Linked DNA regions of Bombyx mori. The protein of the gene in region 1 purifies or fractionates together with the protein of each later gene. This does not show direct contact. Links are inferred from orthologs where the notes say so. Each region holds a gene or a part of one and is shown in the gene's direction. Other genes may lie near its edges.

The links.
Region 2: the proteins of protein LTV1 homolog (region 1) and pre-rRNA-processing protein TSR1 homolog purify together in Homo sapiens (co-immunoprecipitation; 4 studies listed by BioGRID and IntAct, counting the BioPlex papers as one, with this or other methods). This does not show direct contact. The link is inferred for Bombyx mori from reciprocal best matches to the Homo sapiens genes LTV1 and TSR1.

What each region holds. Positions count from the first base shown.
Region 1 is NC_085126.1:10,531,295-10,535,650, reverse strand, and holds the start of protein LTV1 homolog, read left to right. Parts: upstream 1-1,507; 5' UTR 1,508-1,708; coding exon 1,709-1,711; intron 1,712-1,913; coding exon 1,914-2,072; intron 2,073-3,019; coding exon 3,020-3,139; intron 3,140-3,643; coding exon 3,644-3,812; intron 3,813-4,356. Other genes in the region: SCF apoptosis response protein, read right to left, coding at 1-38. UniProt on the Homo sapiens protein: Essential for ribosome biogenesis.
Region 2 is NC_085128.1:3,653,736-3,657,952, reverse strand, and holds the start of pre-rRNA-processing protein TSR1 homolog, read left to right. Parts: upstream 1-1,325; 5' UTR 1,326-1,359; intron 1,360-1,655; 5' UTR 1,656-1,794; coding exon 1,795-1,891; intron 1,892-1,959; coding exon 1,960-2,230; intron 2,231-2,315; coding exon 2,316-3,054; intron 3,055-3,303; coding exon 3,304-3,813; intron 3,814-3,923; coding exon 3,924-4,190; intron 4,191-4,217. UniProt on the Homo sapiens protein: Required during maturation of the 40S ribosomal subunit in the nucleolus.

The sequences.
Region 1 (4,356 bases):
TAGCGGAATGAGCCACTGAACTTTTTAATTTTCGACATCGTAACAACGCACTGTTTAGGTCGGCAGAAAATTTAAAGATCTCTGTATACGTTGAGGACGTTTAATTGTAGGCATATGGTATTTTTATGACGAAATTAATGTTATAAACTAATATTAAAAAGTCACTGTTTTATCAGCTGGCTTGGACCTTAGGGTCCTTAGGTGTATTATTTATAGATCTGTGACTGTCACTATGTTAACACAGATAACAAATATGCTGTCACTGTCTTGCTTAATCTATTTCTAAAGTCGAAGGTTTTTTTGCAATGTGATGACATTCCGTAAAATTTCTTAATTTTTCACTTAATTGCATCTGTTAAACACGGTCTACACAAATAAATATGACTTTTTGGCGGGAACGCGAGGAGTGAAGTTATGCGATTTGTTTTATTTTGTCTATTTAGTGTTTCTTCACGTTTAAATGTGTAATAACGGTGGTTTATTAACTATTTAATATCTGTGAAAGTGAAGTGATAATATAGTATGAAATAAAAATTTTTGATAAATTTTATGACCTGGCAACTAAGACTTTTAAGTCATGTCTTTTAATTTAATTTATTTTCTTATTTTTATGAAAAATTATAATATGGAGTGAAATGAAATTTAATGAAAGAAAATTATTAACTTGAGACACTAATAAACTGGGATGAAATTAAATGAAATGAAATGAGATGATATTATATGGAATGAAATATAATCTCAATAAAATGTTGGTCATTTACTGAAAGTTTCCAATGGACTTTTTGGAAAATCCCGAGAAGTAACTTTCAGCAACTTTGTTTCATTTTCCCACATTGGTGCACTTTCACAGATACTAAATAGTTAATAAACCACCGTTATTACACATTTAAAGCTGAAGAAACACTAATTAGACAAAAAAAAACAAAATCACACAACTACACTCCTCGCGTTCCCGCCAAAAGTCTCGTATGTTTTTTTTAGGGATTTTATAACTTGGTAACTAAGACCTTTAAGTCATGTCTTATTTTAATTTATTTTCTTATTTTTATGAAAAATGATAATATGGAGTGTAATGAAATGAAATGAAGATGATTAATTTGAGATATTAATCAACTGTTATGAAATTAAATGAAATGAGATGATATGGGATGAAACATAATCTCAGTAAAGTGGTGGTTATTTATTGAGATTTTTTTCAGTGGGCTTTTTGGAGGATCCCGATAAGTTATGTCTAGTGGCTTTGTTTCATTTTCCCACATTTGTGCACTTTCACAGATATTAAACAGTTAATAAACCACCGTTATTACACATTTAAACCTGAAGAAACACTAAATAGACAAAATGTGGCAAAATGAAACAAAGCCGCTGGACATAACTTATCGGGATCCTCCAAAAAGTCCTCTGAAAAAATCTTAGTAAATGACCACCATTTTACTAATATCATATCATTTCATTTAATTTCATCCCAGTTGATTAATGTCTCAAATTAAACATTTTCTTTCATTTAATTTAATTTCACTCCATATTATCATTTTGCTTAAAAATAAAATATAAATTAAAATGAGATACGACTTAAAGGTCTTTGTTACCAGGTCATAAAATACCTTTAAAAAAAATAAAAAAAATAACACATGTTCTTGTTTTCGTTCAGTGGATTATACACATGATATTATTGCTTAAACATTACATATAACTGTGCAATACAAAAATGGTAATTATAATACACTAACAAAAAAAAGATAAATATGAAATACGACTAGAGTTTTTACCTCAAAATCTGAGTATTCAAATTAACCTTTTCAAAACTAGAAAAACGATCTTTGGAGATTCACTTTTATATTTTATAACAACTTTTCAAATAGCGAGTCTTAGAGACAAAATAGAAATAAATGTAAAACCTTACCTTGTTCCAGCCTAAAACAAAAAAGAAATTCATAGATAAAAAGAAAGCGGTGACGTTTAACCTAGTACACAGATCTCAAAGAGATCCTCTGGCCGCCGACGAAACAGCCCCGCAGCGAGTATTAGTGCCCGTAAACACAATCATCCCACCTACAAAGGATAAAGATACAGTAAGTAAAAATACTCTCCAACTACAAGCTATCTGTTACACACTACAATAGAAGCCATGTATCCTTACTTCCTATCCTTACTTTCCAATCCTCGCCATTTTTGAAAAAGGTAGCTTACTTAATTCTCCCATCACTGAGAATGGAAGTTTTCTAACACCTTACTGACTTGTGTAAAGATAATATTATTTTCGCAAGAAGTACTATGCAGAAGCTAGAGATTTGTATTATAGTTTGTATTTTGTCAAAGTTCATACCTATATTGTTAAGAATGGGTTTCTGTTTACAAGAAGTGTGGCTATGGTAGTTTTCCTATTACAGCACAAGAGAGCATTATGCGGCATAATGCTCAACATTGAATGTTCCCACTACAGCAATGCTTCGCACAATCGAGCACTCTCAAAAGTACTGCTCTCGCGTGATACTCGCAATCGATACCGACTCAGTGACAGAAAAAGGACAAGTGTTTTTTTCTTTAAGTTGGCATTGATCGAAATTTTGTTTATATTATCGTTAGTAATATTATTTAATGTTGAAAAAAATTGTAAGGCTTTCGTTTCGTCGTAGTTTCTTAGAAATAATCAATGTTAATTAAAACTGTGCTAACTTAGCGCACTCTGCTGATGCATTTGAAAACTAATTCACGTTCCAATTAAGCTTCAGCATAATTCGGCATTGTGCGTCACTGAGTCGCATTATGCTCTGTAATTGGAAAACTACCTATTTCCACTCTCAGTTTCATCCACATGGGCGTAGTAAATGAGTCGTATAACTTAAATTTTTGATTTAAATTAAACCCATAAGCTATTAAATTCACTTCCTGAATCAAAGTATTATGGCAGTGATAATCATGTGTGGTCAAGTGGTATATGAAAAAGGACAATGCCCTTCAATGCCCGTTGCTTAGATATATTGAAGAACTCTTTTAAATGATTTTTATTTTATTTTAGGAATACACACCTGAACAACGCAAAGAGGAACAAAGGAAATACGGTATATATTACGACGATGACTACAATTATTTGCAGCATCTCAAAGACACAAAAGAGGTTACACTTGTGTTGCAGCCTGTGAGTTTTTTTTAATTCTTTCTACGTAGTTATGGTTGTTGAACTTGTATGAAGAACTTTTTTCAATAGAAAAACTGTTAACGACTTGCAGGATTTGACCACTGAGTCGCATCACTCCATATATATACACCAAAAGATTTATTCTTTAGTTCATGATAACTTAAAAAAAAAACGAATATCATACAAGATTATTCATTATTAAGAACTATATTTTTATTTGATTTACTTACTGATTGCATGGTTCTCCCAAATATTCAGAATGTAGTTTCAACTGTCTAGTAGCAAGTCGGGATTGGCTTGTATCAATGTAACTCTGTTGATTAACAACACTCAACACGCATTCTTATCTTCTGTACACAACATTAAGTAGAGAAAAATTAAGAAAATAATTGTTTAGTGTGTAATACATAAAGTCAGTCCGTATCGGGTATCCAATGACCTCTTCGTACGGTGCACTGTTATATGTTTCGCATGTTTGCACTAACAATAATTTTTACAATACAGAAAACTCCACATAAGAAGAAGCCAACGGAATCAACAAAAACTGATGAAATCATCGATGAAGATGAAGAGCCGTCCATTCCAGTCACAGAACGTCTGATGCTGCCCAGTTCGGTGTTCGCTTCTGAATTTGAAGAGGATGTTGGTTTACTCAATAAAGCTGCTCCACAGGGTCAGTTTTTTGTTTAATTGATTCGATTACTGAACGGTCGAAGGATCAGTTGAACGGTCTCTTCGTTCTTTTGTCGACAATTTTATCTTATACCTTTAAACGAGCAATTCTTGTATATCTATACTAGCGACCCGCCCTCGCTTCGCTTCGGAAACATTAAAACACACATGAAACCAAAAAAATTAAATATTTTTTTTTTAAAAAAAAGTAGCCTATGTTCATCAGGGACAATGTCGGCTTCTAATGGAAAAATAATTTTTCAAATCGGTCCAGTAGTTTCGGAGCCTATTCGAAACAAACAAACAAACAAATCTTTCCTCTTTATAATATTAGTATAGATATAATCTGAATCTTGGAAACGGCTCCAACGATTTTCATAAAATTTAGTATACAGGGGATTTCAGGGGCAGTAAATCGATCTAGCTACGATTTATTTTCAGAAAATGTTGTTTTTTTCGTGTTTTCAATAATCAGCTTTATCAATAATCAACTTTATGACTCTACCCGACATCTATTGGTGAATAATAATACTATTTTTCTTAAT
Region 2 (4,217 bases), on another chromosome or scaffold:
TGCTGAACGAATCAAATTCCATTTTTCATCAAATTCCGTCCATCCCTTTCCATTAAAACACAATGTTTTAATGGTACTTTGATACTTATTATACTTTTAATTACTTTGAATAAATTAAAACAGCCTTTTTACAGTGAAATTTAATTTCATGGATTAAATATTTTATATTCTGCAGTCCTTGTTCGTATGTAAGTAATTCTGACCTGTAGGACAAACTCAATAAAGGGGGAGAACAAAATAAATGGTTTATGCATATGAAAGCTCTCTAGAAAACTCAGCAAGATTTCAACAACAAGATTCATCACTAACAAATCCATTCTTTTTTTATTGCTTAGATGGGTGGACGACTTTACCTGATATTAAATGGTTACTGGAGCCCATAGACATCTACAACGTAAATGCGCCACCCACCTTGAGATATAAGTTCTAAGATCTCAGTATAGTTACAACGGCTGCCCCACCCTTCAAACCGAAACGCATTACTGCTTTACGGCAGAAATAGGAAGGGCGGTGGTACCTACCTGTGAGGACTCACAAGAGGTCCACCAGTAAGTACCACCAGTAATTACGCAAATTATAATTTTGCGGGTTTGATTTTTATACACGATGTTATTTCTTCACCGTGGAAGTCAATCGTGAACAATTGTTAAGTACGTATTTCATCAGAAAAATTGGTACCCGCCTGCGGGATTCTAACATCGATGCATCACTAGATCCGAATGCACCGGACGTCTTATCCTTTAGGGCACGACGACCTCAAAATTCGACATCTTCTGAAACTGCCGTTTTTGAACCAGAAATAGTTTATAGTTCCAGAAATCACGCTATAAAACAGGATCGTGTACAAATGAATAGACAATAACAATAGTTAAATAAAAAAAATATATATGTTTTTTAAACTGGCGGAAAGCCACGTTCAGCAATTTTGTTTCATTTCCCTGCTTAAGAGACTTTTGCTAAAATTATATGATTACCTAATAACTTGTAACCATTAAAAACTGTATAAAGAGGAAGAAATTCTAAACTGAGAAAATGAAATCGCTTAAATAATAAGCGTCCTAAAATTAAGTCAAAAGGTCCCTAATTAAACTGAAATGCACCGCTGCCTAAAACTGTTTTAAATTAATTTAAATATGTAATTCCTTTTCCAGTCATTTTTTTTAAATTTCATGGAAAAGACATGGCTTTAACCTTTATTACAAAATTAATTATTAATTAAATTATTTTTCTTTTGCCTTGTCAATGAACGAAAAGGAAAAAAAACGGATGTAAGACTGGTTTTGTATTATCTATGACTGGTATATTATCTATGACCAGATTGGGACTTTTTGGCGGGAACGCGAGGAGTGAAGTTGTGTGGTTTGTTTTATTTTGTCAATTTAATGTTTCTTCAGGTTTACATGTGTTATACACATAATAACGGTGGTTTAATAACTGTTTAATATCTGTGAAAGTGTATAAAGTTGCTGGACGTAACTTCTTGGTATCCTCCAAAAAGTTCACTGAAAAAATCTCAGTAAATGATTACATTACACTGAGATTATATTTCATCCCATATCATCTCATCTCATTTCATTTCATTTCATGTCAGTCGATTAATGTCTCAAATTAATCATCTTGATTTCACGCCATTTTATCATTTTTCTTAAAAATAGGAGACGTGACTTAAAGGTATTAGTTACCAAGTCATAAAGTACCTTATCAAAAAGATTGTCAACATGTGCTTTTTTTATTAGTAAATAAATTCAAATTGAAATCAGCTAGCTTGCATTTAAGTTTTGAAAAACAGTCAAAATGCAACAACCACATCGTCCCGGCCATTTCAAGCAGAGCAATAAAACTCATAAATCACGCCATCGCTCAAAACGAGGTATCGCCGCTGCTGTAAAAGGTTAGGATGTTTTCACTAAACCTATAAAATCGCTATTATAACTTTATTTACCTAAAGCTGTGTTTCAGGAAAAGTCAACTTGAAAGAAATTGTTCGACGTAATCGTCGTGAGCTTAGAAAAGACGATCGCCGTCATCAGGCTTCACAAATTCGCAAAAATAAAAGGGAAGAGGTTCTAGCTACGAAACGTGCTTTAGGAGGCACTAGGAATCCGCCGTTTCTAGTTTGTGTCGTTCCGCTTAATGCGCAACTCGATGTAGGATCGGCACTCGCCATTCTGAAGACCTGTTCTGATGGGGCTGTCGTAAACGAGTCTGAAAACGGAATTGTACACATCGGGTATGTTTATGTTTGTACTATGAACATAAAGCTAGACCTCAAAATTGACAGTAATTTTGCTGAAAATAATTATTTATCATTCTAGGTTGCCAAATTTCAAACAGCGGTTTTCGTTTATTTGTCCTGAAGTAGGTGACGACTTTGCACTTCTTGATGTTTTAAAAATAGCTGACACTGCCCTCTATGTAAGCTCAGCTTTAGAGGAACCAGTTGATGAATGGGGAGAAAAAGTTTTAGCACTCTCTATGGCCCAAGGAATGCCTACCCCTGTAGTAGTAGCAATGGATATAGAGGGAGTCCACCCAAAGAAACGCACTACAGAAAAACAGAATGTTCAGAAATTGGTCTCAAAATGGCTTCCAGAAGAAAAGGTAATGCAATTAGATAAAAAATCAGATGGTTTGAACTTGTTAAGGAAAATAGGAAATCAGAAACGTAACATAATACATCATAGAGAGAAAAGACCTTATATGCTGGCTGAGGAAGTTGAATATGTACCCGATTTAGAAGGTAACAGTGGTACTTTAAGAGTATCAGGGTATTTACGAGGAATGGCACTTAATGTCAATGGACTTGTTCATATTACTGGACTTGGTGACTTTCAAATGACTAGAATAGAGGGTTTTGAGGACCCCCACCCATTTCATTTGGGGAAAGAAAATACTAATGATGATGGTATGTATGCTGAAGTCACAAAAATGTCAGTTCTCGCAGTAGCTGATCCTGCGAAGCAAGAGAGTCTTCAATCAGAGAATGTGCCAGACCCTATGGATGCAGAGCAGACCTGGCCAACTGAAGAAGAAATTGAACAAGCTAATTTAGAGGTAATGTAAAAATAATTGTAAAAATATTGTCAAGTATATTTTGCTGGAGAGTAGTACATCTTGATTCAAAACATAAAGCATTGATTTTTTTTTTTTATTGCCTTTGTAGGCAGACGGGCATACGGCCCACCTGATGGTGAGTGGTTACCGTCGCCCATGGACTTCAGCAATGCCAGGGGCAGAGCCAAGCCGCTGCCTACCGCATGTAATGCAAATAAATAATTACAAAATTGTCTAAACTGTTTACAGACACAAAAGAAAAAAATCAAGAAAGTACCCAAAGGTTGGTCTGATTACCAAGCTGCTTGGATTGTCGAATCTGATGCCGAGGAAGATGGTGATGAGTCTGATAGTGGAGATGAGAAAGAAAACGATGAGTTTATGTCTTGTGAAGATGATAATTCTGATCCAGAGGACGATAAACAGTTCAATGATATTGAATCTGTTACCGAATCAGAGGTTGGACCCACAGATGAGAAGTATGATGCCACAATAGACACTCAGGAAGAACATGAGATGTTGCAGAAGTTAGCAGCTGCAAAAGAAGATCAGCAATTCCCTGATGAAGTTGATACCCCGCAAGATATCCCAGCTAGAGAGCGTTTTATGAGATACAGAGGACTAGAGTCTTTCAGGACATCAGCATGGGATGTAAAGGAAAATTTGCCTCAGGATTATTCTAGAATATTTCAGTTTGAAAACTATGAGCGCACCAGGAAGAGGGTTTTTAAGGAACTCGAAGACAGTTTAGTTAATATGGTAAGTAGAGTATAGAAAACTTTTTTTTTTTCAATATTCATGTTGTGTTCGTTAACAGTTTAATTTATGTATGGTATTGATTTAATACAAAACCAAACATTTTATTACAGTATGGCTTTTATATAAGAATACATGTAAAAGGTGTTCATCAAGATTTATGGAAAGCCTTTAGTACAGCAAATCCGAATGCTCCGTTGGCTGTTTTCGGACTTTTACCACACGAACACAAAATGTCTCTGATGAATGTAGTATTAAAACGCACTGGTGCCTGCAATGAACCTATCAAGAGCAAGGAAAGACTTATATTCCAAGTTGGTTATAGAAGGTTCATTGTGAATCCTATATTCAGTCAGCACACCAATGGCAGTAAGCATAAGGTGAGCTTTATTAAAATGTAATGTACA